3 linked regions of the Macaca mulatta genome follow. The protein of the gene in region 3 interacts with the protein of the main gene of each other region in a biochemical or structural test. Links are inferred from orthologs where the notes say so. Each region holds a gene or a part of one and is shown on either strand. Other genes may lie near its edges.

Region 1 (10,371 bases), on a different chromosome or scaffold from region 3:
CCAGCTCTGCAAACTACAGAATTAATTTTTTTCTTCAAGTTTCTTTGTTATGGAAAAAAAAAATACTCTCCTGCTAGTCCTCAAGTAACAAATTCATTGTAATCAACAATACTAACCATGACTGGAAATATCAAAATAACATACAACTACTGAAGCCGGGCATGGTGGCTCACGCCTGTAATCCCAGCACTTTGGGAGGCCGAGAAAGGCAGATCATAAGGTTGGGAGTTCGAGACCAGCCTGGACAATACGGTGGAACCCCCATCTACTAAAAATACAAAAATTAGCTGGGCGTGGTGGCGGGTGCCTGCAGTCCCAGCTACTCAGGAGGCTGAGGCAGGAGAATCGCTTGAACCCGGGAGGCAGAGATTGCAGGAGGCCAAGATTGTGCCACTGCACTCCAGCCTAGGCGACAGAGCGACTGTCTCAAACAAACAAACAACTAATGGAATAAAAACATCTGGAAATAAAGCTGGGTGCAGTGAGTGGCTCATGCCTGTAATCCCAACACTTTGGGAGGCCAGGCAGGTGAATCATTTGAGGTCAGGAGTTCAAGACCAGCCTGGCCAACATGGTAAAATCCCATCTCTACTAAAAATACAAAAGTTAACAGTGTGCTAGTGCCGCAGGCCTGTAATCCCAGCTATCTGGGAGGTTGAGGCAGGAGAATCACTTAAGACTGGGAGGTGGAGGTTGAGGTGAGCTGAGATCCTGCCACTGCACACCAGCCTGGGCTAGAGAGTGAGACCCTCTCAAAAACAAAGAAAAAAACTGGAAATAGGTAAATTTCTTTTTCTGTACAGAGAACTTCTTTCTATGTTGAAGGCAGAATTTTCTATTAAACAGATAGGCTACTGTATTAAAGTTTTCTGATACCTTAGTTACATGATTTTAAGCTGGAGCTAGACAGCAACATGTTGAATGTCACTCATTCTTATCACTTATGCCCCACTCCATCAAAAGTATACTTGGATACAGTCATCAAGAACCTAAAAACAGAACAACAACCCTAATGACAAAGATCAGTGAGCTTAAACTATGTACAATTTGAATACAAACTTACTGACTTACAGGATGGGGGAGGGGGGGTGTCGGGGGACCATTTAAACAGACAGATCTGGATATTAGCCTTATGCTCAATCTTCAAGTGAAAAGACAAATCAGAGGTCATTTAGAGATCAATTTAGTATTCAAATACATTGCTCACTTCTACTTGAAGCTACTTCACCTAGATCAGAGAGTTTACATTTGTACATGCAACTTCAATATACAATGTCCAGGAGTACAGCCACTCTAAAGTGCCACAAAAGTAAAACTGTCTAAGTGGCCAAAGAAATTAAGAATATGTAACAAATCCTGTGTTCCCACAGCACCTTGTTACAGCTGTAATACAGATCTCATCACGGTATCATCTCGCTCTCCCCAAACTGCAGATGTGGAGGTACTGTGCTCAAGCATCAGCCCTAATATCTTGCACAATGCCTAGCATACAGCAAGTGCTCAATATTTGTTGAATAAACAAAAAGTATCAAGCTGGCTGGGTGCGGTGGCTCATGCCTGTAATCCTAGCACTTTGGAAGGCCAAGGCGGGCAGATCACTTGAGGTCAGGAGTTCGAGACCCAGCCTGGCCAACACGGAGAAACCCCGTCTCTACTAAAAATAAAAAAAAAATAGCCAGGTGTGGTGGTGCATGCCTGTAATCCCAGCTACTCAGGATGCTGAGGCAGGAGAATCACTTGAACCCGGGAGGCAGAGGTTGCAGTGAGCCGAGATCGTGCCACTGCACTCTAGCCTGGGCAACAGAGCAAGGCTCTGTCTCAAAAAAAAAAAAAAACAAAAAAAACGAAACCCTATCAAGCTATCCCAGCTCACCAAAATGTGAGACCCATCAAAGAAGCCCATTTTTCCAACTAAACCTCAACACGCCTTCTCCTTGGAGAAGCTATTAACTGAGCACGAGATCAACACCCAGGTTACCATGAGACAGGATTTCTTGAAAAGCACAGAAAGAAATGTTGTATCACATTGGTTAAAGATCAAAAGCTCAGTCAGGCACAGTGGCTCCCGCCTGTGATCCCAGTACTTTGGGAGGCCGAGGTGGGTGGATCACCTGAGGGGAGGAGTTCAAGACCGGCCTGGCCAAGATGGTGAAACCCAGTCTCTACTAAAAATACAAAAATCAGCTGGGCGTAGTGGCGGGCGCCTGTAATCCCAGCTATTCAGGAGGCTGGGGCAGGAGAATCCCTTGAACCCAGGAGGCGGAGGCTGCAGTGAGCTGAGATCACGTCATTCCACTCCAGCCTGGGCGACAAGAGCAAAATTATGTCTCAAAAAAAAAAAAACTCAATAGCTCATACATTCACACACCTCAAGCCCAAGGAATGTGATCTTGGACCAATGAAGCTTTTAAATAAAATATTGTAAATATACTTTGCATACTGCATTAAAATCAAACATTTTACACATTGTAAAATCATCCTATGAGAGCAGAGGGGTGGACCAGTGGGTACAAAAGCACGCATAGGAAACTGTAACATTGCTTAACTTCATAGGTGCCCATTAATGGGGGCCTAATCTAATATTATGCTCCTGCAACAAAAATAAAAACTAAGAAGGAAGAATGAGAAGAGCAACAAACCAGTCTGAGGGTGCAACCAGTAAAGAGTCTGCAGACTTCACAGAGGCCAATTTTTCAAAACTCTACCATGTAACTACCTCCAAAGTCCAATGTAACAAAGCTATGCAATGCTTTATAATTTTCTTTCTGAATGACTGACAAGTTTTAACAAAATATGGCATAGAATCTATACACACATCCTGTTAGTTTCCTTGTAACAAGAACCATGAGAAACCTCTCCTATACCAGCCAGGAAGAAGAAACATATATTCCCATATAGAACATTTTCAAACCTACTATGTTAAATGACTACTGGAATGACTAGTAGGACCTAAAAGTTCATTGAAATTAAGACCCAAATCATCTCCTCTGCAAACTATCAGAAGGGCCTACCCAAGTTGCTCTTAATCATTTAAAAAATGTGTTTAAATCAGAATATGAATAGTGTTCATTATCATCATTTTACTCACCTTACTAACACCTACTCCAGTAAACCTGGCCTCCAATAATTCCTGCCGTCGTGGGTCCAGGCTATGCAATTCTTCCATCATTTCTACTGAAAAAGAAAAAAGTAGGCTGTGAAACCATAAATACTAATATGTGAGGCGGCAATTTTTTGTAGAACAAAACTCATAGTAATTATTTCACTGAATGATCAAATGCAGTTAAATCTCAAGTAAATACAGCATACGAGTGGTAGACTACTATGTGCTGCATCAAACAGTAATACATTTAAAACATCTAAAGCAGCTCAGAAGTCCTCTTCTATGACAGTCACTTATTCTTCCCTAGTTCTGATCTGATTTTAACAGCAAAAATAAACCCCTCAAACCCTTCATATAATCTCTGTAACAAAGTTGAGCACAGGGGAAAAAACAAAACAAGAACTAGCCTGCAAAAAGAAAATTCCTTCTATCAGCCTTCGAATCTAGCTAAGTATCTTCAGATATTTATTTCCCACTCAGGAAATAGTCCTTAAACTAAAAATATAAACCATTGACAATAATTTCAAAAGAATATAGGATGAATCAGAAGCTACAAATAACTGCAAAAACACTATAATACAGCTCCTTTCTCTGAAGAGCTCACAGTAGCTCATGAGAAAAGGAATTAATTATTTTAAATTTAATAGAGAGCCCACGGTGAAACCATCCACCTCCATTCACTCAGGAAATTAATATAGCTCCATAACAATCCCTTTAAAAAATCGTTTTCTGACCACTCCCTGCAGTAGGTTTCTCTTGATTCTGGACATCTGCTTTTAGCCCTTCTTCCAAGCAGGGAGGGGCAGGAGGACACCATTTTTAAACTTCCATAACCAATTAATGCACAGGCTACTTTCAACAAATATGTCCATCCTTTGCAAGAGACCAACTCCTACACGACCCATTGAAAACCTCCCTTTAAAATTAACAGTGGAAAAGAAGCATACATCATTACATAGAACCCCTTCGAACACATTATTAAGTAGTTGGAATGGTTGGTGTGATTTTAAAGTTACTGAAAAAATGAATCGAACATTCTCCTCTGCAATCCAACAACTCCACAATCTCCAGTAACAACCCCCTTACAAGTCCTTCAGTTTCATTTCCCTTCCTGGATTGAGAGCCTGGGGCAAAGGGGAATGAAAAGGTGACAAATTAAAGTTTCACCCACACAAGCAAGTGCAGGTTAGAGAGAGAATTAGGAAATTCTCAGAAAGGTTGAAATGCATCTTTATAAAAAGAAAAAGAAGGAAAAAAAAAGACTGGGGGAATGAGTTTCCCCCGTGGCCTTCCTCGCCTCTTGCCCTGCCCTAATCGAGGTCGGAATGGCAGAGGTTGCAGTCTCTCCCAAACCCCAAGGTCTCTCGCAACATTTCCCAAACCTATCCATCCCCAGGCCCGGCCCGGAAAATGACGCCCCGGCGGTTATTCCGTTTAATGTCAACTCATGTTAAGGAAATAGCCACTCCGTCTAATTCCAGCGGGGCCTTGGACTGGGATCCTCCCTGCAGCCAACAGCCGGGAAGCAGGGGCGACGGGGCCTGGTCCCGGCGCCCCTCGCCGGCTCCAAACTTTCCCCAACTCCAGGCCCACCTGTCACGGAGGAAGGGAGGGCCGGCTCTCGGGGGCGCCCGGGAGGCTGCCGAGGCCTCCAGCTGCCGGGGCGCCCCCGTCTCTCCTCCGGCCGCCGGCCCCAATCCCAGGCCAGGGCCGCCTGGGCCTCCCCCATCTTCGGCCCGGCCCCTCGGCAACCCGCAGCCCTCAGGGAGCCCCTCCCGCCTCAGCGCCCAGGAGCTGCGGTCCGGAGCCGGCCCCGAGCTGGGGCCCAGGTCGCAGGCTCCTCAGGCCACAGGGGTCCCTGGGACGGTTAATGCCCCAGGCCTGGCGCCCTCCCCCGCCCGGGGCTCAGCCTCTCACCTGCCGCCGCCGCCGCCGCTCCACGCTCCTCCCGGGAGGGGCCCCGACCCGACCCGGCTGCGGGCCGCTCCGCTCTCCCCCTGGGCAGGCCCGGGGCGGAGCCGGGGCCTCTCCTGAACGCCGCAACCCCCCGCCCGGGCAGCCGCCGCCGGCGCCCGGCTCCACGAGAGGGCGGGCGGGGGAGGGGGGGCACGAAGGCCGCAGATCCCCGGGCTCGCGTACAGAGCCAGGCGCCCGACGCGGGCCCGGGCCCGGGCGGCCGCGGGGGGCGCGGGACCGGCCTCCTGGCGCCGGACAAAGGCCAAGGGAGGCGCAGGAGGGCCCAGGCCGGGCCAGGAGGTGGGGGCCCGCTCGGCTGGGGGCCACTCGGGTGCGGCGCGGAGGGCGGGGGGGGTCGGAACCGCTGGTGCCCAGGACCCGCCTCCGGCCCCTTAATCCGGATCGGTTCGGTCCGGATTAGTAGTGATCGGTGTAAACACACTAGTGAAACCGCGTGTTTCCTCGCGAGATTTGCACGGCTGGGAGGCAGGGGGGGGTCCTGGGGGGGGTGGGGGAAGCGCCGACAGTGGGGGAGGAGGGGGAGGGGACGAGGAAGGTTGGGGGGGGTCCCCGCTGCCCCGGCGCCCCGCCTCCTCCAATCAGCGGCCGCGCTGCCGGGCAGGGGTTAACCAGGGGACCCCGCGCCGACCGAGGAGGCCGCGCCTCGCCGGGCGGCTGAGGGCGGGTGACGGGCGGCGCCGGCGGACTGGCCGCGACGCGAGGGGAGGTCTGGCGGCCGGGGGCGCCCTGCGACTGCCGGAGGCCAGAGGCCTGGAGGACCTGCCGCCGCCTTTGTCACCGGTCCCCGCCCCGCTGGACTTGCCCGGGCCGGGGCAGTGGGGCCGGCGCTGGAGGGGCTTGACCGCCCAGGTCCACCCATTCTTGGATCTGCCTCGCCGGCCCCCGCGCCCTCCCAACCCCAGCCCAACCCCTAGGCTCCGCGAGTTTGGGTGAGAAGTGCGGCGGCTTTTCCCAGGGATGGAGTTTAGAAGACGCTAATCCTATGTGCGAGCGGCGGACCCCACCCGGACTTCCCGGAGGCGCCCGGTTAGTGAAGCGACGGCGCCCACCTGCGTTCGCGGACTCGCGGCCGCCACTCCCCGAAGCAGCCGGCCCACCCCAGCCCCGCGCGGCGCCCCGGAGGGCGGGCTGCACTCCACGTACCTGGCTAGCAGAGCGTCTCCAGGGACAAAAGGTGCCCTGGGATCAAAGCCGAGCCCCCGCCCCCGCCGGGATGCTGCCCTCCGGAGGGAGGGGCGCTGCCCCCAAGGCACTGTCCCCGGGCACCCAGGGAGAGGTTCCATTTCAACCTCCGATGAAAAAAACGGCCCTCCCAGGTACTTAGGAGGGTCTGAGGGTAAGTGCCAAGACGGAGAAACACGCCGGCCCCTGACAGAATATCTCCTGAGGAATGAGAACTATCTAGTGGGCAAGGAGGGCTTCCTGCATAGCAGAGGGCACCCACTCTGATCGCGCAGCGCCAAGGGGAAAAAATCACACTCTTCACCGGCTCCCCTGAGCCAGGACAGTCTCCGGTGCAGCCACCCACCTTATAATTTTCCGCGGATGCTGCCTTGATCAGATGTCGGAAGATGACTTTAAGGACTACAAGCGAAATCTCAAGGGGAAAATTCAGACCTTGAACAACAGCCTTGAACTTTTTCAGGGTTAAACAAGTACTCCCAAGTGGAGTTTCTGTCCTTATTTCTTCGTTCTTCTCTAAATTCTTCCATATATTACCAAAACACAGACCTGCCAAAACGACACAGGATGGCGCTTTGCTTTTTGTTAGTTCTCCAACCTTCCAAACCCTTGGGGCACATTCAAGCGCTGTGGAAAAACTCCATTAAACCAAGAGTCGTCTTACTCCAGATCCCAGACTGCTTGGGAAGTTGGACATGCATATTCCCAAAGAGAATAGTGTTGGAAGGAGAGAGGAGAGCAGCCAGGGGGTGGGGGGTAGAGGGTAGGAAGAGAGGGCAAGATGGACGACTACCACTCGAGGCCAGCCTCTACTGCCTGATAGGGCGGGAGAACCTAAGAGCCCGTCCAAGGCAACACAAAAGCCAGTGAGGGTAGGTCTTTAATTGCAGCCAACGATCAAGAAAGCAACTCCATCAAATGACACTGCCTTTTTAAAACTTTATTTTTTTCTGAGTCAGACTCTCGTTCTGTCGCCCAGGCTGGAGTGCAGTGGTGCGATCTTGGCTCACTGCAACCTCTGCCTCCTGGGTTCAAGCAGTTCTCCCTGCGTCAGACTCCTGAGTAGCTGGGATTACAGGCACGTGCCACCACGCCCTGCTTATATATATATGTTTTTTGTTTTTTTTTTTGTTTGTAGAGTCTAGGTTTTACCATGTTGGCCAGGTTGGTCTCCAATCACCTCAGGTGATCCGCCCACCTCAGCCTCCCAAAGTGCTGGGATTACAAGCGTGAGCTACCGTGCCGGACCAAATGACACTGTCTTAAATGATTTAATGTCTTAAATAGGGAAAGGAGAGTAAGAGAAAGCCCTCAACGGAGTCAGAGGTGTCTTGCAGCCTAGCTCTTTCCACAGACAAGCCTCATGGGCCTGTTACCTAACCTTTTCAAGCTCCTCCAACTGCTTCTGTGATGGAGGGATTTGGGCTAGAGGAATTTTTTTTTTTTTTTTGAGACGGAGTCTCGCACTGTCGCCCGGGCTGGAGTGCAATGGCGCGATCTCGGCTCCCTGCAACCTCTTTCTCCCGCGTTCACGTGATTCTCCTGCCTCAGCCTCCCAAGTAACTGGGAATACAGGTGCACACCACCACACCCAGCTTATTTTTTGTATTTTTAGTAGAGATGGGGTTTCTCAATGTTGGCCAGACTGGTCTGGAACTAACCTAGTGATCTGCCCGCCTGCAGGCAGGAGCCACCGTATCCTGCCTATGATCCCATTTTTTAAAGTAATTTAGGCTGGGCGCAGTGGCTCACTCCTGTAATCCCAGCACTCTGGGAGGCCAAGGTGGGTGGATCACTTGAGGCCAGGAGTTCGAACCAGCCTGGCCAACATGATGAAACCCTGTGTCTACTAAAACTATAAAAATTAGCTGGACGTAGTGGCACGTGCTTGTACTTTCAGCTACTTGGGAGGTTGAGGCAGGAGAATTCACTTGAACCTGGGAGGCGGAGGTTGCAGTGAGCTAAGATGGCACCACTGCACTCCATTCTGGGTGAGACCCTGTCTCAAAAATAATAATAATAAAATAAAAGTAATTATTTAAAATAATTATTGGGCCGGGCACAGTGGCTCACACCTGTAATCCTAGCACTTTGGGAGGTCAAGGCGGGTGGATCACAAGGTCAGGAGACTGAGCCCCCCTGCGGCCAACATGCTGAAACCCTGTCTGCACTAAAAATGTTTTTTAAATTGGCTGGGCATGGTGGCGGGGACCTGTAATCCCAGCTACCTGGGAGGCTGAGGCAGGAGGATGGCGTGAACCAGGGAGGTGGAGCTTGCAGTGAGCTGAGGTCGCACCACTGTACTCCAGCCTGGGCAACAGAGCTAGACGCTGTCTCAAAAAAAAAAAAAAAAAATTCCGTCTTTAAAAAAAAATACAAAAGCTAGTTGTGCATGTTGCCATATGCTCGTGGTCCCAGCTACTTGGCAGGCTGAGGTTGGGAGATCACTTGAGTCCAGGAGGTGGAGGTTGCAGTGAGCTGAGAACCCACCACTGTACTCCAGCCTGCGTTATCAGTGAGATTCTGTCTCAAAAAAAAAAGAAAAAAGAAAAAAAATCTAGGCTATGCTCCCTGTATGGGAAATCTAGTCTAGTTATTTGGCAGAATCAGGCTTTGCAGGCCGTATTGTCTCTGTCGTAACTCCCAACTCTGCTGTTTAAAAGGGAAATAGCCACAAACAATATCTGAAAGAAGGATTATGGATATATTCCAATAAAACTTTATTTGCAAAAACAGGTTGCTGGTTGCAACGTAGTTTTCCAACCTCAACATGATTCTCAGACTTTAGGTTGCATCATCATCACCTGGAGGGCTTGTTCAAACAGATTGCTGGGCCCCACCCCCAGAATGTTTGATTCAGCAGGTCTGGGGTGGAGCTGATATTTGCATTTCTAACAACTTCCCAGGTGAGGCTGGCCAATGATGGTCTGGAAACCACTTTGAAAACCTCTGAAGCTTTTCTCAACTCCCTTATGTCTCTGTACCTAAAACACTTCATCCCTACTGTAGATGTAGCGTTTAGCGTGTTGTATTAGTTTAGTGATTGGCGTGTGGGTCTCTGGGAGCCTTTCTGAATCACCTCCCTAGACTAGTGCCTGACGATAGCAGTTTGCTCCGTGTTCATTGACTGAACTGAAACCAGAGGGTCATGGTCATCATCATTGTTCCAAGCCATAGATAGAAGATGAAGTCACCACCCCCAATCTCAGAGCTCATCAGAGTAGAGCTTGGGCTGGATCCTGCCCTTCTCTGCAGTGAGCAGTTTTGTCTCTGGAGCTCTGTGCAACCTGGAGCCAGCCCTGCCTGGGTTAAGAGGAAAAGGGACTCCCTCCCCACACCCCCACAGCGTGTACGCAAACACACCAGGAGAGATGACCTGCTCAGAGGAGACCTTGAACCAAGGGAAATGAAATGAGAGTGGGTTGGGGGCTTGTCTGTTTAAGTTTGTTATTTTTTGCTTGTAAGTGGACACTTTTACTTTGTGGTGTGGTGTGTGAATTTGGGGACTTAAATCTAGATGGCTGTCTGCTGCGGACAGCCACTGTTTCTGAATTACAGGGCATTTCAAGTGACCTGTGGTCAGGATGTTTTCTCTCAGATCAGGCAAAATCAGTTGGTCCTGATAATAACCAGGGGAGCCGTCCTTTCTCTATCTTGAGTAGAAGAAGCCACAGCTCCCGGGTCCCCCTCCCCCTCCTGACTGCCCACCTCCTGGCTTCCTGTCTTGCTGTGTCGCGTAGGCTGGAGTACAGTGGCGCGATCTCGGCTCACTGCAACCTGGGCGTCCCAGGTTAAAGAGATTCTCCTGCTTCAGGCTCCCAAGGAACTGGGATTACAGACGTGTACCACCTCACCCAGCTAATTTTTTATATTTTTAGTAGAGACGGGGCTTCACTGTGTTAACCAGGATGCTCTCGATCTCCTGACCTCATGATCTGCCCACCTAGGCCTTGGAAAGTGCTGGGATTACAGGCGTGAGTCACCGTGCCAGGCCTGCCTCCTGGCTTTTATCCTGGGGGCACTGCAAGTAGAGCCAGGCATGGGGCGCATGCATCCTTCCCAGCCTCTCTTTCCTGCTGGGCATGGAGGAGGAGGCACTGGCAGGAGCT
Region 2 (9,598 bases), on a different chromosome or scaffold from region 3:
ACAAGGTCTTACCGGGGCGTTGTCTTGCTCCAGGCTTGCAGTGTGTTCAGAGTGACCCTCCGGGATGGGTGGCCTTTTGTGTTTTGACTACTGGGCTGCAGGGTCTTCTCCTCTGAAGGCCCCGGCAAGGGGCTTTTGACAGCAGGAGTGATGGAGGGAGGGTCTCTGATGGCTGTTGGGGCTGGGGCCTGTCTGGCTTGAGGAGGGGTTGTGCCGGGGCTGCTGGGGTCTTGGCTTCTGCTGGCAGGGGCTCCCTCTACTGGTCTGGGTCCTGGCGAAGACCCTCGATGTGTCTGACTCTTGGTTTTCTTTGCTGTATCAGGAGTTCTCATGCTCAAAACTGGCTTCTCTTTCAAAGGAATTCCAAGTTCATCTTTCTCAAATGTCACAAACGAGCAGTAACCGTCCGTGGAAGAAATGGCCAAGAAGGCGCCATCGCTGGACCTTCATCCCCAAAATAGGGAAAAGTTACAGACCTTACCAACACTCTCACATCTAGTTAGAAGAGGGAAGTTCAAGCAAAATCACAAGCTTGTCTGAAGGCAAAGACCAGGGAAAAGATACGACTGGAAAAGAGTGTGTGATAGCAACTCACTCATGCAGTTTCATCACGATTTGCTAAGTCACTGCAACCTATCTGTGCTACTAGCAACTTGCACTTGAATAGGCCGGGCACAGTGGCTCACACCTGTAATCCCAGCACTTTGGGAGGCCAAGGCAGGTGGATCATTTGAGGTCAGGAGTTCAAGACCAGCCTGGCCAACCTGGTGAAACCCTGTCTCTACTACAAATACAAAGAAATTAGCCAGGCATGGTGGCAGGCGCCTATAATCCCACCTACTCGGGAGGCTGAGGCAGGAGAATCGCTTGAACCCAGGAAGCAGAGGTTGTAGTGAGCTGAGACTGTGCCACTGCACTCCAGCCTGGGTGACAGACTGAGACTCCATTTCAAAAAAAAAACTCACACTGAGCCAAGCAAGCCGCGGGGGCTGAATTGGGGACCCAAAGGTGGTGGAAGGGCAGGGGTGAGTGACATTCTCTAGACAGGCCCAGCTCGGGGCACTTCCCTGTCCTGGGCAGCAGGGACATGCAGGGGAGGGCTTCTTCCCAGAGGGCCTCAGGAATCCCCAGATGGCCAGGGAGTCTACAGGGCCTCCGCTCAGTTTATCAGAGTCCAGTTAACCCCACAAGGCAATCTGAATGCCATCAAAACCCACCAGTGTGAAAATAGGAAGCAAGTATTATGGCAAACTAGAAATGGCTTTTCCTTTTAATGTTGATTCCTTTAAAAAATAAAATTGGGCCAGGTGCAGTAGCTCATGCCTGTAATCCCAGCACTTTGGGAGGCTGAGGCAGGAGGATCGCTTGAGCCCAGGAGCTTGAGACCAGCCTGGCCGACGTGGCGAAGCCCCATCTCTACTAAACCACAAGAATTAGCCAGGCGTAGTGGTGCACACCTGTAATCCCAGCTACTTGGGAAGCTGAGGCATGAAAATCACTTGAACCTGGGAGGTGGAGGTTGCAGTGAAACGAGATCACACCACTGCACTCCAGCCTGGGCGCCAAGAGTGATACTTGGTCTCAAAAAAGCAAATAAGAAACAAAATTGGTGAATATGTCCCCCAAAGCCATCTTTAGTAACGAAATGCTCCCTAACCCCAGGGTCTCTTCCAGGGTATGGCCATGGGCTCCTTCACTCACTCTCCCTCCTTAGCAGCCACTCACCATGAAATGTCACTGAGCGTGTGGTAATGTATATTAGACACGTAACCGAAAGGGAAGGACTGCTGGGTGTCATACAGAAGCACGGAGTCCTCCGAGGCCACAGCAAACACGAGGCGGTAGGGCAGAGTCATCAGCTCCACACCTGGGGGTCGGGGACAGAGACAAAGTAAAACCACAGAAACAAGGCTTCTGACCGGGCGCAATGGCTCACGCCTAGAATCCCAGCACTTTGGGAGGCCGAGCTGGGTGGATCACTTGAGCTCAGGAGTTTGAGACCAGCCTAAGCAACATGGCAAAACCCCGTCTCTATCAAAAATACAAAAGTTAGCCAGGCATGCGGGTGTGTGCCTGTAGTCCCAACTACTCAGGAGGCTGAGACAGGAGAATCGCTTGAACCCAGGAGGCGGAGGTTGCAGTGAGCTGAGATTGTGCCACTGCACTCCAGCCTTGGCGGCAGAGGAAGACTCTATCTCAAATAAAAAAAAGAGAATATTTATAGGAATAAAATACATCCAGCATCCACTAAGGTCAAATTCAGTGTCTGGTATCTAATCAAAAAGTACCAGGCAAACAAAGAAACAGGGAGATATGACCCACAAGGAGGAGAAAAAAAATCAAAACCAACCTGTATACAAGGACATTAAAGGAGCTATTATAACTGTATTCTATAGGCTTAAGAAGCAAGAGGAAACTGAGGTGGGCAGATCACCTGAGGTCAGGAGTTCGAAACCAGCCTGGCCAACATGGCAAAACCTTATCTCTACCAAAAATAAAAACATTAGCTGGGTGTGGTGGCACACACCTGTAATCCCAGCTACTCGGGAGGCTGAGGTGGGAGATTCACTTGAACCTGGGAGGTGGAGGCTGCAGTGAGCCGAGATTATACCACTGCACTCCAGCCTGGGCAACAGAGAAAGACTCCTTCTCAAAAAAAAAAAAAAAAAAAAAAAAAAAAAAAAAAAAAAGAAAGCAGCAAGAGGAAAGATGGAGCGTGGAGAGGCACAAATATATAAGGAAGACCCAAAGTGAACCTCTAGAGATGAGAACCACAACAACGAAAAACACGCCAGATGGGACCAAGGGCAGGGCATGCAGAAGAAAGTGTTAGCAAACTCAAAACACAGCTATACAGACTTCCAAAATCAAACACTGGAAGAAGAAAAAAACAAAAAAAGTAAGCAGTATCAAAGGCCAGGAATGAATTTCAAAGGACCTAATATAACACATGTGCAATGGGGAGTATTTGAATAAGAGAAGGGGATGACAGAAATAATATTTGAAGGAAAAATGGCTGAAACTCCCAAATGTAATAAAAACTATAAACTGATAGGTCTATGAAGTTCAGTGAACCCCAAGCACAAGAAAACATAACGAAAATGGCTGGGCGTGGTGGCTCACACCTATAATCCCAGTACTTTGGGAGACCGAGGTGGGTAGATCACCTGAGGTCAGGAGTTCGAGACCAGCCTGGCCAACATGGCAAAACCCCGTCTCTACTAAAAATACAAAAATTAGCTGGGTGTGGTGGCGTGTGCGTATAATCCCAGCTACTCTGGAGGACAGGTTGGGAGGCAGAGGTTGCAATGAGCTGAGATTGCACCACTGCACTCCAGCCTGGGCGACAGAGCAAGATTCCATCTCAAAAAAAAAAAAAAAGAGAAAAGAAAAGTGATAATGAGAGACATAGACAAACAAAAGGAGTACGGCTATTCCTTTTAAAGTGCCTTAAGAAAATAAATCCTGAAAAAAGAAAAAAAAAAAAAACTGACATGTATTTTGATAACCTCAGTCTTTGCTCCAGCTTTTAAGAATAACTAAACCGGGCCAGGCACGGGGGCTCACACCTGTAATCCCAGCACTTTGGGAGGCCGAGGCAGGTGGATCACTTGAGTCCAGGAGCTCAAGACCAGCCTTGGTAACATGCTGAAACTCTGTCGCTACCAAAAATACAAAAATTAACCAGTCTCATAACCTGGTCTCAAAATAAATAAATAAATAGATTTAAATGTAAAAATAAAATATTTTAAAAATAACTGAACTGAACCAAACCCACATACACACCTTTCCCTGTAAGACAGAATCCAAATCTCCACCCCACTCTGGTGACCCGTTTCGGAGAGAAAACATAATGCACCCTGAGGCACTGAGGATACCTGTTTCCACCACTGGCCTCAGTTCAAAGTAGACCGGACAGCAGCGAACAGCAAGAGTGGCTTTTCCAGGACACGGAAGATGAGCGATGGGCCTAATGGATTAATTGCAGTGTTAGGAAAAGGCACTGTGACTCAGCGAAAGCAAAAATAAAAGGTAAACATTTCGGCAGGGCACGGTGGCTCACGCCTATAATCCCAGCACTTTGGGAGGAGGAGGCAGGCAGATCACCTGAGGTCAGGAGTTTGAGACCAGCCTGACCAACATGACAAAACCCCATCTCTACTAAAAAAAAAATACAGGCCGGGTGCAGTGACTCATGCTTGTATTCCCAGCACTTTGAGAGGCTGAGGCAAGCGAATCACTTGAGGTCAGGAGTTTGAAACCAGCCTGGCCAACATGGTGAAACTTCATCTCTACTAAAAACAGAAAAATTAGCTGGGGGTGGTGGCGGGCACCTGTAGTCCCAGCTACTCGGGAGGCTGAGGCAGGAGAACCACTTGAACCCGGGAGGCAGAGGTTGCAGCGAGCAGAGATCGCACCATTGCACTCCAGCATGTGCAACAAGAGCAAAACTCCGACTAAAATAAAGGTAAATATTTCAAACATTTCCTTGACTGCATACCTTTTAAGATTCTTCCTGGAGAAAACATAAGTGGTATTCATTACATTTTCACCAGATTCCACACATCCAGCTGGGGAGCAGGGAAGGGAGGGAGAGGAAAGAAAAGTCACTGTTTCAGCAAACTGTTCTATTCTGTTCACCAACGGAAACTCAAGAGCCTTCAGTTCCGGTTTGCAAAATAGCTCCCCCTGAAGTTATATTCTCTAGACAATGTTGTGACTGAGCACAAAAACAAATATTCCAGCACTGTCTGGTCTCGGCCTTTACTCCAGTTCTACCTACTTGTCATCTCCACCTACCTGTGGGCAGTCCCTGGGGACCCGGTTCTGATCTTGGGCCGGGAGAACATAGTGAGCCTTTGCCACAGGGCACCTTTGAGCCTCCAGGCAATTCCTCGATTGATGCACCGTGACTAGATTCAGCTGCCCAGGCTCCTTTCTCCCTAAGACCCTCATCTCTATTCCCTGGATTCCAGCCTTGGATGCTATCCAAAGGCTGAGACTAGCCTTTCCCCAACTTCCCTATCCAGCCATGAGGCTGCCAGGAGACCTTGCCCTCTGCTGAAACCTCCAGCCTCCTTCAGAACCTGACTTTGCTCTGGGGAACAGTCTCCATCTGAGAGCTCTTCTCCACTCACCCCGTGCTGTACTTAAAACAGTTCAGGCCTGTCAGAGTGACCATCATACACTGCTGCTCTTACACTAACATCTCCCTGTTTTATATTATTTCTTGATACATATACACACACATAACTTTACATATGACCGTTTCATATCTACCAGGGAGGGCAGTAGACAGTATCAATAGTCTTTTTTTTTTTTTTTAATTAATACATTCTACATAGCTGCCCTCTTTTCTTTTGAGACAGAGTCTTGCTCTGTCACCCAGGCAAGACTGGGTTTTGGCTCACTGCAACCTCCACCTCCAGGGTTCAAGCAATTCTCCTGCCTCAGCCTCCTGACTAGCTGGGATTACAGGCGCCTGCCACGATGTCCGGCTAATTTTTGTATTTTTAGTAGAGATGGGGCTTCACCATGTCGGCCAGAGGGATCTCAAACTCCTGACCTCAAGTGATCTGCCCTTCTCGGCCTCCCAAAGTTCTGGGATTACAGGCATGAGCCACTGCACCCAGGCCCCTCTTTTCATCCCACTCCATTCTTCCATCCCCAAGAAATCCATTTTAACATTCAACAAACCATTATGTCATCTGTATATTTCCCCCATGCTCACAAAATCATTACAATCAGTTATAACTCAATCACATATATACCTCTATGATTTTTTTTTTTTGAGACAGAGTCTAGCTCTGTCGCCCAGGCTGGAGTGCAGTGGCACGATCTCGGCTCACTGCAAGCTCCGCCTCCCAGGTTCACGCCATTCTTCTGCCTCAGCCTCCCGAGTAGCTGGGACTACAGGCGCCCACCACCACACCTGGCGAATCTTTTTGTATTTTTAGTAGAGATGGGATTTCACCGTGTTTGCCAGGATGGTCTCGATCTCCTGAACTCATGATCCACCCACCTTGGCCTCCCAAAGTGCTGGGATTACAGGTGTGAGCCACCGCGCCTGGCGGAGGATTTTTTTTTATTTAGTCCATTTGTTTTACAAAGCAGGGTATTATTGACACTTCTCCTTATTTTGCTAGTTTCAATCCACTACTCATGAAAATTAACTTGCATAGCACTGATGCATTATTTTTTTGTAGCTGCATAATATTTACTGCAAGATTCATTCACCCAACCTCTGTTAATGAGTATTTATTTGCTTTTGGTTTTTTACCACTATAAACAATGCTTGCAATAAGCATACTTGAACATACACTTTTTTTTTTTTTTTTTTTTTTTTTTGAGACAGAGTCTCACTCTGTTGCCCAGGCTGGAGTGCATTAGCGTGATCTTGGCTCACTGCAACCTCTGCCTCCTGGGTTGGAGCAATTCTCCTGCCTCAGCCTCCTGAGTAGCTGGGACTACAGGTGTGCATCACCACGCCTGGCTAATTTTTGTATTTTTAGTAGAGACAGGGTTTTGCCATGTTGGCCAGGCTGGTCTTGAACTCCAGACCTCAGGTGATTCACCCACCTTGGCCTACCAGAGTGCTGGGATCACAGGCTTGAGCCACCACGCCCGGCCAGTTTCCAGTCTTAATTGGGTCTTCTCCATTCGTAGAATGTCCTTCTATATTTCCTTATAAGAGTTTTCTATTTTTACCTTTTGTGTTTAAGTACTGAATTCACCTGGAATTTATTTTTTATATCTAGGGAAGGGGTCCAATTTTATCTTCTTCCACATATCTAGCTACCCCAGCACTACTCATTCAATAACAGAGTCCTCCCTTTGCAAGATCCATCTCTTGTACAACATGGTGATTATGGTTCATAACAATGTACTATATTCCTGAAAAATGCTAAGAGAGTAGATATAAAGTGTTCAAACCACAGAAATCCTAATTATGTGAGATCATGCTATGCTAATTAGCTAGATTTAGTCATTCCACAACATATATATACTTCAAAACATGTCATACACAACTACATACAATTTCATCTGTCAATTAAAAAAAAAGAGAGGAGGCTGGGTGTGGTGGCTCATGCCTGTAATCCCAGCACTTTGGGAGGCTGAGGCAGGTGGATCGCCTGAGGTCAGGAGTTCGAGACCACCCTGGCCAACACGGTGAAACCTTGTCTCTACTGAAAATACACAAATTAGCTGGGCATGGTGGCAGGCGCCTGTAATCCCAGCTACTCGGGAGGCTGAGGCAGAAGAATCGCTTGAACCTGGGAGATGGAGGTTGCAGTGAGCCAAGATCACGCCAATGCACTCAAGCCTGGGCGACAAGGGTGAAACTCTGTCTCAAAAAAAAGAGGAATAGGTCTTTGTCCAATCTCAACACTTCCCAGCCTTCTTAATGACAAATTCTTGTCCTATTTGCCTTCAGTGTCTAATTCTCTTGAGAATTATTTAAGTAACATACAATTAATTACAAATAAATAACAGATTTTTTTTCCACTGGAACAGTACCTGAGGTCATATATTAAATTGCCTTATATCCTGAGATCTTCTTCTGAACTCTGTGTTCTGGTCCACTAATCTATTTGTTTGGTCCTCTAGCAACACCATACTGATTGGATAAAAGTAGTGTTATAGTATCTTCTGACATGTGGCGAGGCAAATGCCCTCCCAACCAAGTATCACTGGGTTTTTTTCATACTTCCTTGGCTATTCTTCAGCATTTATTCTACTAAACAAAGCTGAAATTTCATCCAATTAAAAAAAAAAAAAAACTTTAATGCAATTCTAATTGGAAATGAAATTGGTATGTTAATTGTTAGAACATGATATATCTTTCCATTTGTTCAGAACTTGTTTTATAACCTTCAATAAGACCTTCTAGGCTTCTCCATAAAGGTCCTGCCCCTTCCTTATTAAATTTACTTCTGCCGGGGTGTGGTGGCTCACACCTGTAATCCCAGCTCTTTGGAAGGCTGAGATGGGAAGGCTGCTTGAGCCCAGGAGTTTAAGACCAGCCTGGGCAACACAGCAAGACCCTGTCTCTACAAAAAAATAAGAAAATTAGCCGGGCATGGTGCTACATGCCCATGGTCTCAGCTACTAGGGAGGCTGAGATGGGAGGATTCCCTGAACTCAGGAGATCAGGGCTGCAGTGATGCAGTGGGCCATGATCACACCACCATACTCCAGCCTGGGTGACAGAGTGAGACCCTGTCTCAAAATAAATAAATAAATAAATACATTTACTCCATGTGTTTTGCAGGCTTTGCACTACAATGAATAAAATATTTCTCCTCCTTCCATTTCTAAGTACTCACTGCCAATATAGACGAAAGATCACAGATTTTTATATATTTTACACTATCCAGCCATCTTATCAAATTATTTTAAAAATTCTAATAGTATTTTTTTTTTTTTTTTTTGAGACGGAGTCTCGCTCTGTCACCCAGGCTGGAGTGCAGTGGCCGGATCTCAGCTCACTGCAAGCTCTGTTCTAATAGTATTTTTTAAATCTCTTGGATTTTCTAGAAACACAATCGTATTACAGATTTTTATCTCTTCTTTTCCGATCTTTGTAATTTCATTTTCCTGTTTTTCCCACACTAACACCACAAAGAACAATAATGTTGATAACAGACATCCACCCTGCTTGATTTTAATTGAAAATATTTTTAGAGTGGCCACTTAGTAAAGGATTTGAAACTGGGGCCCGGCACGGTGGCTCACACACCTGTAACCTGTAATCCCAGCACTTTGGGAAGCCAAGGTGGGCAAATCAACTGAGATAAGGAGTTTGGGACCAGTCTGGCCAACATGGCGAAACCCCGTCTCTACTAAAAACACAAAAATCATCTAGTCATGGTGGCAGGCACCTGTAATCTCAGCTACTCAGGAGGCTGAGGCAGGAGAATCGCTTGAACCCAGGAGGTGGAGGCTACAGTGAGCCAAGATGGTGTCACTGCACTCCAGCTGGGGTGACCAAGCGAGAGATTCTTTTAAAAAAAAAAAAAAAAAAGGCCGGGCGCGGTGGCTCAAGCCTGTAATCCCAGCACTTTGGGAGGCCGAGACGGGCGGATCACGAGGTCAGGAGATTGAGACCATCCTGGCTAACACGGTGAAACTCCGTCTCTACTAAAAAAATACAAAAAAACTAGCCGGGCGCGGTGGCGGGCGCCTGTAGTCCCAACTACTCGGGAGGCTGAGGCAGGAGAATGGCGTGAACCCGGGAGGCGGAGCTTGCAGTGAGCTGAGATCCGGCCACTGCACTCCAGCTTGGGCGGCAGAGCGAGACTCCGTCTCAAAAAAAAAAAAAAAAAAAAAAAAAAAAAAAAAAAAAAAGGCCAGGCGCGGTGGCTCACGCCTGTAATCCCAGCACTTTGGGAGGCTGAGGCAGGTGGATCATAAGGTCAGCAGTTTGAGACCAGCCTAAGCAACATGGTAAAACCCTGTCTCTACTAAAAACACAAAAAAATTAGTGGGGAGTGGTAGCGCACGCCTGTAATCCCAGCTACTCAGGAGGCTGAAGTAGGAGAATCGCTTGAACCCAGGAGGCGGAGGTTGCAGTGGTGAGCGGAGATCGCACCACTGC
Region 3 (10,098 bases):
TTCACATTCCAGGTATATGCTAAACTCACCCTTTACATAGATTTATTGATTTATTTATTTATTTATTTATTTATTTGAGATGGAATCTTCCTTTGTCACCAGGCTGGAGTGCAGTCGCGCAATCTCAGCTCACTGCAACCTCTACCTCCCAGGTTCAAGCAATTCCTCTGCCTCAGCCTCTGAAGTAGCTAGGACTACAGGCACACGCCACCACGCCCGGCTAATTTTTTTGTATTTTTAGTAGAGACGGGGTTTCACCATGTTCACCAGGATGGTCTCGATCTCCTGACCTCATGATCCGCCTGCCTCGGCCTCCCAAAGTGCTGGGATTACAGGCGTGAGCCACCGTGCCTGGCCAATTTTTTTGTATTTTTAGTAGAGATGGGGTTTCACCATGTTAGCCAGGATGGTCTTGATCTCCTGACCTCGCGATCTGCCCGCCTTGGCCTCCCAAAGTGCTGGGATTACAAGCATGAGCCAGCGTGCTCGGCCAAGAAAGGGTACTTTAAATAGGGTACTTTGGGAAGTCTTCTTTCAGAGGACATTCGAGCTGAACCACAGCGAAGAGAATGAGACAGCCATGCAATTATCCGGAGGAAGCACATTCCAGGCAGAGGGAACGGCAAGTGCAAAGCCCTGCGGCAGAAATAAGCTGGGTGTGTTGAAAGAAGGGGAATAAAGCCAGCTGGGCTTGAAAGCAGTGACAAGAAGAATGGTAGATGAGGCCTGAGAGGTCAGCTGAGGCTACCACGCAGGGCAGCCTAAGCCATAGGAAAGATCTTAGGTTTCATTCTAAGTAGGATAAGCCTTTGAAGGTTTTAAGCAGAGTAATGACATGATCTGGTTTACAAGTGAAGATCATTCAGCCAGCTGTAAGGAGAATGCATCATAGACAGGGCCACTTTCTTCATTAGCGCCACGGAAATAATGCTGGTGGCTCATGAGCTTCTCAGGGGCTATGAAAAGGTCAGGGATAGGGATAAAGGGAAAAAAGTTCCACAATGCAAAGATAAAACTACAAAGTTGGAATGAATAAATATTTAAATAAGCATCTAGAAATATGACATCATGACAACTGCATTAATCATTAAATTTAGTATTCATAAGCAATCGAATTACATTTGGAAATTAGATTTTCTCAAATCACAAATATCCCCAAGTATGCAACGATTGCCAAGAAATCAAAGGAATCATAAATGTGAGCTTCCTTGAAGCCAAATAATTTCAAAAGAATATTAAAAAGCTTTCAATTTTTTTTAACAGCTAAAAAAATTTTTTCTTAATGTGAGATGTACACACCAAAAAAAATGGGCTAGGCGCTGTAATCTCAGCATTTAAAGACAAGATAGGTGAACTGCTTGAGGCCGGAAGTTTCAAGAGCAGCTTGGGCAACAGCGAGACCCTGTCTCTACAAAAAATTTAAAAAGTAAAACAGGCAGGGCATGGTGGCTCATGCCTGTAATCCCAGCACTTTGGGAGGCTGGGGCGAGTGGATCACCTGAGGTTAGGAGTTTGAGACCAGCCTGGCCAACATGGTGAAACCCCCATCTTCACTAAAAATACAAAAATTAGCCAGGCAAGGTAGCGTGTGCCTGTAGTCCCATATAGTCAGGAGGCTGAGGTGGGAGAATCGCTTGAAGCCAGAAGCAGGAGGGTGCAGTGAGCCGAGATCGCACCACCGCACTCCAGCCTGGGTGACAGAGCAAGACTCCCTCTCAAAAAAAAAAAAAAAAAAAAAAAAGTAAAACAAATCAGGCATGGTGGCACGCACTGGTGATCCCAGCTACTTGGGAGGCTGAGGTGGGAGGATCACTTGAGCCCAAGAGTTCCAAGTTACAGTGAGCCATGATCATGCCACTTCACTCCAGCCTGGGAAACAGAGCTCTGTTTAAAAAAAAAAAAAAAAATCCCACAGGAACTGGATTGTTTCCAGAGGTGACTAGGTAAGAAATACTAGTGCCTTTGATCAGTGCTATTCAGGCTTACGGCCTGTGATTTTGAACACTGTCCAGGGCACCCTTAGAAAGCCCTCTCTGGGGAGAGGACATTTGAACAGAGACTTGAATGACGAGAAGGCATAAGCCAGCCAAGAGCCCAGAAGAAGAGGTTCTGGGCAGAGCTTTGCACTGGGAGTGGCCTGTCAGATTTTTAACAAAAAGAGGGTTACTTAGGCTGGTTTGAAATTGGAGCTAGGTAGTTAAGAGGAGACAAAGCATAGTTTCGAAGACAATGCTCTCATCCTGAGAAGTGACCTGGTCAAATGTGTTTTTGACCTTCACTGTCCAGTAATACAGGAGCCACTTGTCACAGGGGTTCAGGAGCACTCAACTGTGGCTATCAAGACACCTAAACTGAACTTTCTTTTCTAAAATTTAATTTAATTTTTTTTTTTTTTTTTTTTTTGAGACGGAGTCTTGCTCTGCCGCCCAGGCTGGAGTGCAGTGGCCGGATCTTAGCTCACTGCAAGCTCCGCCTCCCGGGTTCACGCAATTCTCCTGCCTCAGCCTCCCGAGTAGCTGGGACTACAGGCGCCCGCCACCGCGCCCGGCTAGTTTTTTGTATATTTTAGTAGAGACGGGGTTTCACCATGTTAGCCAGGATGGTCTCGATCTCCTGACCTCGTGATCCGCCCGTCTCGGCCTCCCAAAGTGCTGGGATTACAGGCTTGAGCCACCGCGCCCGGCCTAAAATTTAATTTTAATTTTGAGAGACAGGATCTCACTCTGACACTCAGGCTGGAGTGCAGTGGCTGGAGCATCCTGGGCTCAAGAGATCCTCCTGCCTCAGCTTCAGGAGTAGCAGAGACTACAGGTATGCACTACCACACCTGGCTTATTCTTTTATATTTTTGTAAATATGAGGTCTTGTTATGTTGCCCAGGCTGATCTTGAACTCCTGGCCTCAAGAAATCCTCCATGCCCAGCCTCTAAAATTTAATTTTTTTAAAAAAAAGTAAATCTTGGCCGGGCGCGGTGGCTCAAGCCTGTAATCCCAGCACTTTGGGAGGCTGAGACGGGCGGATCACGAGGTCAGGAGATCGAGACCATCCTGGCTAACACGGTGAAACCCCGTCTCTACTAAAAAATACAAAAAAAAAAAAACTAGGCCGGGCGTGGTGGCTCACGCCTGTAATCCCAGCACTTTGGGAGGCCGAGGTGGGCAGATCACAAGGTCAGGAGATCGAGACCATGGTGAAACCCCGTCTCTACTAAAAATAGAAAAAATTAGCCGGGCGCAGGGGCGGGCGCCTGTAGTCCCAGCTACTCGGGAGGCTGAGGCAGGAGAATGGCGTAAACCCGGGAGGCGGAACTTGCAGTGAGCTGAGATCCGGCCACTGCACTCCAGCCCGGGCGACAGAGCGAGACTCCGTCTCAAAAAAAAAAAAAAAAAAGTAAATCTTAAATTAAAAAAAAAAAGATATGGCTGGGTACAGTGGCTCATGCCTGTAAACCCAGCACTCTGGAAGATCAAGGCGGGCGGATCACTTGAGATCAGGCGTTTGAGACCAGCCTGGCCAACAAGGTGAAACCCGGTCTCTACTAAAAATACAGAAAAAAATTTAGCTGGTTGTGGTGGTGGTCACCTGTAATCCCAGATACTCAGGAGGCTGAGGCAGGAGAATCGCTTGAACCCGGGAGGTGGAGGTTGCAGTGAGCCGAGATCGCGCTATTGCACTCCAGCCTGGGTGACAGAGCGAGATTCCGTCTCAAAGAAAAAAAAAGTGGTTTCCAAAAAATGTAAAATTAGGTGCGCGGCTGGCATTATTTTTCCACTGGGTAGAGCTGATCGCCCGTGGGGGCAGAGACTCTGCGACCTGGAGTCTCCCAGGCCGGGGGCGACGGGATGCGGCGGAGAGAAGTTTCCGGATGTATTGTGCGGTCATGAATCATGTCAGGGAATTGCCACTGCCCCCGTTGAATGGAGAGACGCTGCCTCAGGAGCTGAGTAGCAGAGCCCGGACTCGAACACTGGTCTGCCCCCGAACTGAAACTCCCATTTTCAGTACCGTCTGCTTGAAACCTTCCAAGAGCCCTTGAGGGGGCGAGAGCGGGATCCAAACCCCTCGGGGGCGAGAGCGGGATTCGAACCCCTCGTGGGCGAAAGCGGGATCCGAACCGGGCTGGACTCCCGAGGTCCCAGCGCGCCGCGTGACCGCCACTCCGAACGTTCGCAACGTTCACAACGGACTCCAGGGCCGCTGGACCTCAAGGGTCAGGAGCCACTCAGAAAAGCTCCAGACTACGCTCACCTGTTGACAGACGCTGAGGGCGCAACCCTCCTCCTCTTTTTTCACACTCGCCAGCACCGCGGCGGCGCTCGACTTCCGCTTCTCTCCAGCGAATCCCCAGCTGAGCCTCATTCTGCTCCCGGCACTATTACCAATCCAGCCAATCAACTCTCAGAAAACCCTCTTTATCTCCGCCCCACTCCCTCCTGCCAATCACTGAGGGTGCGAGCACCGCCCTTCCCGCCTTCTTTAGCGAGCGCCGCGCGCCACCGCTCGGCGGTTGGCGGCGCTGCGCGGTGCGGGATGCAGCTCCCGGAAAAGCGAGGCGAGGGGCGGGCTACGCCGGTGCGGGAACCCTCAGGATTGGGCAGAAGGAGTCCGGCGCTCTGACTCCGTCCACTCCCGCCGTTGACATCCGAGTCGGAGACGCTGGGGATTGGTTCCCAGCGGACACGCTAAGAAGCCTGGAGATGGTTTCGCCCTCCTCACACGCCGCGGAGAGGGAGCTCCGCTGATTGGTCCGGGGAGTCTGGGCGCGCGCCGACTGGCGCTCCAGGATTGGCTGAGGGGGTGCGCGCGCCGCCAGGGGAGCGTTGGCGGTGATTGGCCAGAGGGCGGAGGCCGGCTATTTGAAGGCGGTCCGCGGTTTAGGTGCGCACTTCAGTCCGCGGAGGGAAGAGGCGGGAGTGGACTTGGTCTGCCGTACCCCACTGACGCCCCCCCACTCACCGGACCCAGGCGCGGCCTCCGCCACAGCCACAGCCCTGCCCCTGCCCCTGCCCCTGCTGCGGCGCGGCGCGGCGCGGCGAGGCGAGGCGAGGCGAGGCGATGGCCAAGGTGTCGGTGCTGAACGTGGCGGTCCTGGAGAACCCGAGCCCTTTCCACAGCCCCTTCCGGTTCGAGATCAGCTTCGAGTGCAGTGAAGCCCTGGCGGACGGTGAGGCTGGGCCCGTGCGGGGACCCCCACCCCCGGGCCGACCCCGGCCTCCCCTTGGAGAAGCGCTCCCATGGCCAACTTGATCTCCCCCATGAAACCCCTCGTCCCCTTTCCGCCAATCCCGATCTCCGGGTGGAGACTCCCCGCCATCAGCCAACTCGGACCTCCCCGTGACCTCCTCTCCCACTGCCCGCCTTGACCTCCCGGGTGGAGACCCCCAGCTAGCTAACTCGGACCTCCCCGTGACCTCTTCCCCCACTGCCCGCCCCGACCTCCCCATAAAGATTAACCCCAGTCAAGCCCCACTTCCCGCGTGGGAAACCTCATCCATCTTTTTAATCTGGAGGTCTTCCTAGGTACCCGTTTTCATGGAGAGATCTTCTTGGCCTCCATTTCTTAAGCCACGGAGATCTTCAGCCACCGTGATTTCCCTGTGGCAAGACCCGCGCTTTAGCCACCCACCCATTTTTGCCCACTTATTCCCTCTTTAGTGAGATACTCACACCTCCCATTTTCCCTCTGGAGACTCCGAATGTCCAGCCCCTTCCCATTTTCCCCGGGGGAAATCCTAGCCATCTGCTATTTTCCCTATGGAGATCTCTCACGCAAGCTCCTTTCCCTCCTCACCGTGAAGACGCTCCCCACCAGTAACCGTTTTTCGCTGTGAAAACCCCTCAACCCCTTTTCAGGACCGCCCTCGCCCCCATCTTCCCATTTGTCTCCCACCAATCCCCTCCCCAACCTGCCAATATTTCAACAACCCCACCCGCACCAGTTGCTGTTGCTTTTCTGCCATTGCACATACCCTGGAACCTGGTTCCTCCTTCGTTGGGGCCCAACCCCTGCTATGCTTGAGCTCCCCCTGGGAAAGGATGCTACCGTCTTTGAGGGGAACTTGGTCTCCCCAGCTCCCCTTCCCCACCCTCTTCTGTGGACTTGGATAAACACACTGAGATCTGAGGGCTGGCATAGCCAGGCAGGTATTAGCTGCTTCTCCAGGTTTGCCCACCCATTTCCAACTGAGTTACTACAGCAGTTCTTCCCTCGCTTTTTCTTTCTTCTTTTTTTTCTTTTTTCTTTTTTTTTTTTTTTGAGACAGACTCTTGCTCTGTTGCCCAGGCTGAAATGCAGTGGCACGATCTCAGCAATTCTCCTGCCTCAGCCTCCCGAGTAGCTGGGACTACCAGCACCTGTCACCATGCCCGGTTAATTTTAGTATTTTTAGTTGGAGGCAGGGTTTCACCACATTAGCCAGGCTGGTCTCGAAGTCCTGATCTCAAGTGATCCACCCACCTTGGTTTCCCAAAGTGCTGGGATTACAGGCGTGAGCCACCGCGCCCGGTCTTTTTTTTTTTTCTTTTTTTTTTTTAATATAGCTGGATAATCAGTGCCAAGCTTCCATTGCTTTTGATGGTCTGACCTAGTCTGGAGGGTGAGTGGGTTGGGCTGAGCTGTGACAGGCTCCAGCTTCAAACAGTCACCTGGAGCCCGGAGGTCACAGCCTCCTGTACATCTTTTCCAAGGTGCTTCTGCAGATGTACTTGTTAATCTGTGTGACTTAAAGGTGGACATGGCTCTCATCTCACAGATGAGAAGACAGGAGCCACAAAGCGCAAAAGACCTTTCAAGTCAAGGCCTGTACAAATCCAAAATCTAAGGTCACCCAGGGAGCCTTGGCACCACTAAAATGCAAGTCCTGCTTTCAGAAAGAAGTACTCCATTAGGCCATTTTTCTACTTGGTGGTTAAAAGAGAAAAGGCAGTAGCCGAGGAGGTAGCGATCTGGGGGCCTGTGAAGCCAGGATGTGCTAACTAGTGCCTTTCGGGGGCAGGTGGGTGTTTGGCCCTCAAAGCTGGTCACCTGGACTAGCTTGGGGCTGATAGAGTGAGATGTGGATGTGCTTCGGGTAGGCCAGTGGGTCTCTCTCTCCCCGGTCTGTCTTGCTCCTTTTTAAATTAAGCAGTCTACTTGTGGCTAACTATAGAATAAGCCGAGTTAAATCCTTTCTGGAACAGGGCAGCGTGTAAATAAATAAATAAAGTGTAGAATGACACTGTGGAATAAGATTTAATTTAAAAGCCAGGAGGAAATGGAAGGAAGTAATAGGTTGAGGGATTCCCAGCTCCCAGGCGGCAGGAGATCAGGTTTCAATCAGCCTGTTTGTGTTCCTTGCATTTAAAAATGGTTGTGTGGTCATTATCTGGTACTTCTCCTAGGAAGCCCCTGCCCTGTGACTTTACTTATTTATAGAATTAGAGGCAGAAAGGCTAAATTCAACCTGCTGCTCCTTTTTTTGTTTTTTTGGAGACGAAGTCTCACTCTCGTCCCCCAGGCTGGAGTGCAGTGGCGCAACCTCCGCCTCCCGGGTTCAAGCAATTCTCCTGCCTCAGCCTCCCGAGTAGCTGGGATTACAGGTGCCTGCTATGACGCCCAGCTAATTTTTGTGTTTTTGGTAGAGATGCGGTTTCACCATGTTAGCCAGGCTGGTCTCGAACTCCTGACCTCAGGTGATCTGCCCGCCTCAGCCCCCCAAAATGCTGGGATTACAGGTATGAGCCACCGTGCCCAGCCTCTGCTGGTCATCTTTTAATAGAAATGGAGTGATTTATCCAGGGTCACCCAGCCAGTTTGTAGAAATATTGGCACTGAAGTTTTGAATCTAAGTTCTTTATCTTTGCTCCGATCCAGGGAAAGAAAGGAAGAAGGATTCCCTATTTCAGAGGTGGAGCATAGATAGGAATGACCATACAATTTATTGCCTAATCAGGATACTCAAAACACAGTAAAGGGGAATGCTATTATTATTATTATTATTTTATTTTATTTATTTTTTGAAATGGAGTTTCACTCTGTCACCCAGGCTAGAGTACAGTGGCGCGATCTCAGCTCACTGCAATCTCCACCTCTTGAGTTCAAGCGATTCTGTGGTCTCAGTCTCCCAAGTAGCTGGGATTACAAGCTTGAGCCACCATGCCCGGCTAATTTTTGTATTTTTAGTAGAGATGAGGTTTCACCATGTTGGCCAGGTTGATCTCAAACCTGACCGAAAGTGATCTGCCCGCCTCAGCCTCCCAAAGTGCTGGGATTACACTTTGAATCACAAGCACGCGGCCAGGGAATGCTATTGTTAATTGCACCCGGATGATAAAGCTTTTCCTTCAAGAAACTCAAGTGAGAAATCCTGGCTCTTCCAGTCCTAGGGCTCTCTGTGACTGATCTGCCAGCTTGCTTTCTGCCTCTTTCTGGCCTCCTCTCCATGAAAAAGAGAATCTGGCTCACTCTCAGCAGTGTCAACTGAAAATCTTGACAAAACCCCCAATCCAGCTGTGCGAGGTGGCTCATTCCTGTAATCCCAGCACTTTGGGAGGCTAAGGAAGAAGGCTCTCTTGAGCCCAGGAGTTTTAGGCCAGCCTGGGTAACATAGCAAAACGTTGTCTCTACAGAAACATCAAAAAATTAATGGGACTTGGTTGCATGTGCCTGTGGTCCCAGCTACTGAGGAGGCTGAAATGGGAGGATTGTATGAGCCCAGGAGGTCAAGGCTGCAGTAAGCCGTAAGCCATGGTTGCACCACTGTACTCCAGCCTGGGTGAGAGAGCAAGACCCCATCTCAAAAAAAAAAAAAAAAAAACCACCCTAACTCCTAAGCCCCAGTTGAGTGACTCCTATTTCTCAAGGGCCTCAAGCCCCCTTTGCACTTTTATCTTCCACATCTGGAAATAGATGCTTCCATGTTTAGCTGAGAAATTCAACAGACACTGGTTGAGTAAGTCATAGAAGCCAGATGTTCTGACCCAGAACTAACAAAGCTGTTATGGCAGCAGGACTGATCTTTGATTATGAACAAAGGCAAAAAAAAAAAAAAAAAAAAAACAGGCTGGGCACGGTGGCTCACGCCTATAATCCCAGCATTCTGGGAGACCAAGGCAGGTGGATCACCTGAGGTCAGAAGTTCAAGACCAGCCCAGCCAACATGGTGAAACCCCATCTCTACTAAAAATACAAAAGTTAGCCAGGCTTGGTGGTGGGCGCCTATAATCTCAGCTACTCGGGAGGCTGAGGCAGAAGAATTGCTTGAACCTGGGAGGCAGAGGTTGCAGTGAGCTGAGGTTGTGCCACTGCACTCCAGCCTGGGTGACAGAGCAAGACTCTGTCTCAAAAAACAACAACAGGCCAGGCACAGTGGCTCACGCCTGTGATCCCAGCATTTTGGGAGATCAAGGCAGGCGGATCATCTGAGGTCAGGAGTTTGAGCCCAGCCTGGCCAATGTGGTGAAAACCTGCCTCTACTAAAAATACAAAAGTTACCTGGGAAGGGTGGTAGGCGCCTGTAATCCCAGCTACTTAGGAGGCTGAGGCAGGAGAACCGCTTGAACCCGGGAGGTGGAAATTGCAGTGAGCCCAGATTGCGCCATTGCACTCCAGCCTGGGTGACAGAGTAAGACTGTCTCAAACAACAACAAAAACAAAAAAGCAGGAAGCAGACTCTTTAGCTAGTTCAGCTACAGTAATCATGTACGTGTCTTTAGTCTTATCATTTATATATATATGTACACACACACATACATACACACACACAGTGGAGGTATGTCTTGTACAGGGACTAGCTTGTGAAGTTAGCGCAGAGAGATAACATGGAACACAGTTGAGTTGCCTTGACATTGCTCAGAAGGTTAGATACACACCTCATGTGTACAGCTGTGTCCTGTACACAGTAGCTATGAGTTCGTGCTGTGTTGGTGATTTGTGTCCCATGTATAATTCTAAAGAAAGATTATATTCAGAAATGCAATCATACACATATGTCGCTACTTACAACACTGCAGCCCGATTTTTTTTCTTTTTTTTAAAAGAGATAGGGTGTTGGCCGGGCACAGTGGCTCATGCCTGTAATCCCAGCACTTTGGGAGGCTGAGGCAGGCGGATCACGAGG

The links.
Region 1: of the proteins of ASF1B (region 3) and TLK2, one has a biochemical effect on the other in vitro, tested with the Homo sapiens proteins (3 studies listed by BioGRID). The link is inferred for Macaca mulatta from reciprocal best matches to the Homo sapiens genes ASF1B and TLK2.
Region 2: the proteins of ASF1B (region 3) and CHAF1B form a complex in vitro, tested with the Homo sapiens proteins (2 studies listed by BioGRID and IntAct). The link is inferred for Macaca mulatta from reciprocal best matches to the Homo sapiens genes ASF1B and CHAF1B.

The regions. Positions count from the first base shown.
Region 1 is NC_133421.1:72,252,944-72,263,314, reverse strand, and holds the start of TLK2 (serine/threonine-protein kinase tousled-like 2), read right to left. Parts: upstream 4,862-10,371; 5' UTR 4,833-4,861; coding exon 4,697-4,832; intron 4,426-4,696; exon of another isoform or gene 4,333-4,425; coding exon of another isoform or gene 4,275-4,332; intron 3,892-4,274; exon of another isoform or gene 3,838-3,891; intron 3,531-3,837; exon of another isoform or gene 3,511-3,530; intron 3,175-3,510; coding exon of another isoform or gene 3,172-3,174; coding exon 3,089-3,171; intron 1,850-3,088; exon of another isoform or gene 483-1,849; intron 440-482; exon of another isoform or gene 1-439. UniProt on the Homo sapiens protein: Serine/threonine-protein kinase involved in the process of chromatin assembly and probably also DNA replication, transcription, repair, and chromosome segregation. Phosphorylates the chromatin assembly factors ASF1A and ASF1B.
Region 2 is NC_133408.1:11,018,182-11,027,779, forward strand, and holds part of CHAF1B (chromatin assembly factor 1 subunit B), read right to left. Parts: intron 4,572-9,598; coding exon 4,502-4,571; intron 3,971-4,501; coding exon 3,879-3,970; intron 1,868-3,878; coding exon 1,726-1,867; intron 445-1,725; coding exon 13-444; intron 1-12. UniProt on the Homo sapiens protein: Acts as a component of the histone chaperone complex chromatin assembly factor 1 (CAF-1), which assembles histone octamers onto DNA during replication and repair.
Region 3 is NC_133424.1:14,719,025-14,729,122, reverse strand, and holds the start of ASF1B (histone chaperone ASF1B), read left to right. Parts: upstream 1-4,443; 5' UTR 4,444-5,056; coding exon 5,057-5,165; exon of another isoform or gene 5,166-5,265; intron 5,266-6,508; exon of another isoform or gene 6,509-7,503; intron 7,504-8,744; exon of another isoform or gene 8,745-9,042; intron 9,043-10,098. UniProt on the Homo sapiens protein: Histone chaperone that facilitates histone deposition and histone exchange and removal during nucleosome assembly and disassembly. Cooperates with chromatin assembly factor 1 (CAF-1) to promote replication-dependent chromatin assembly.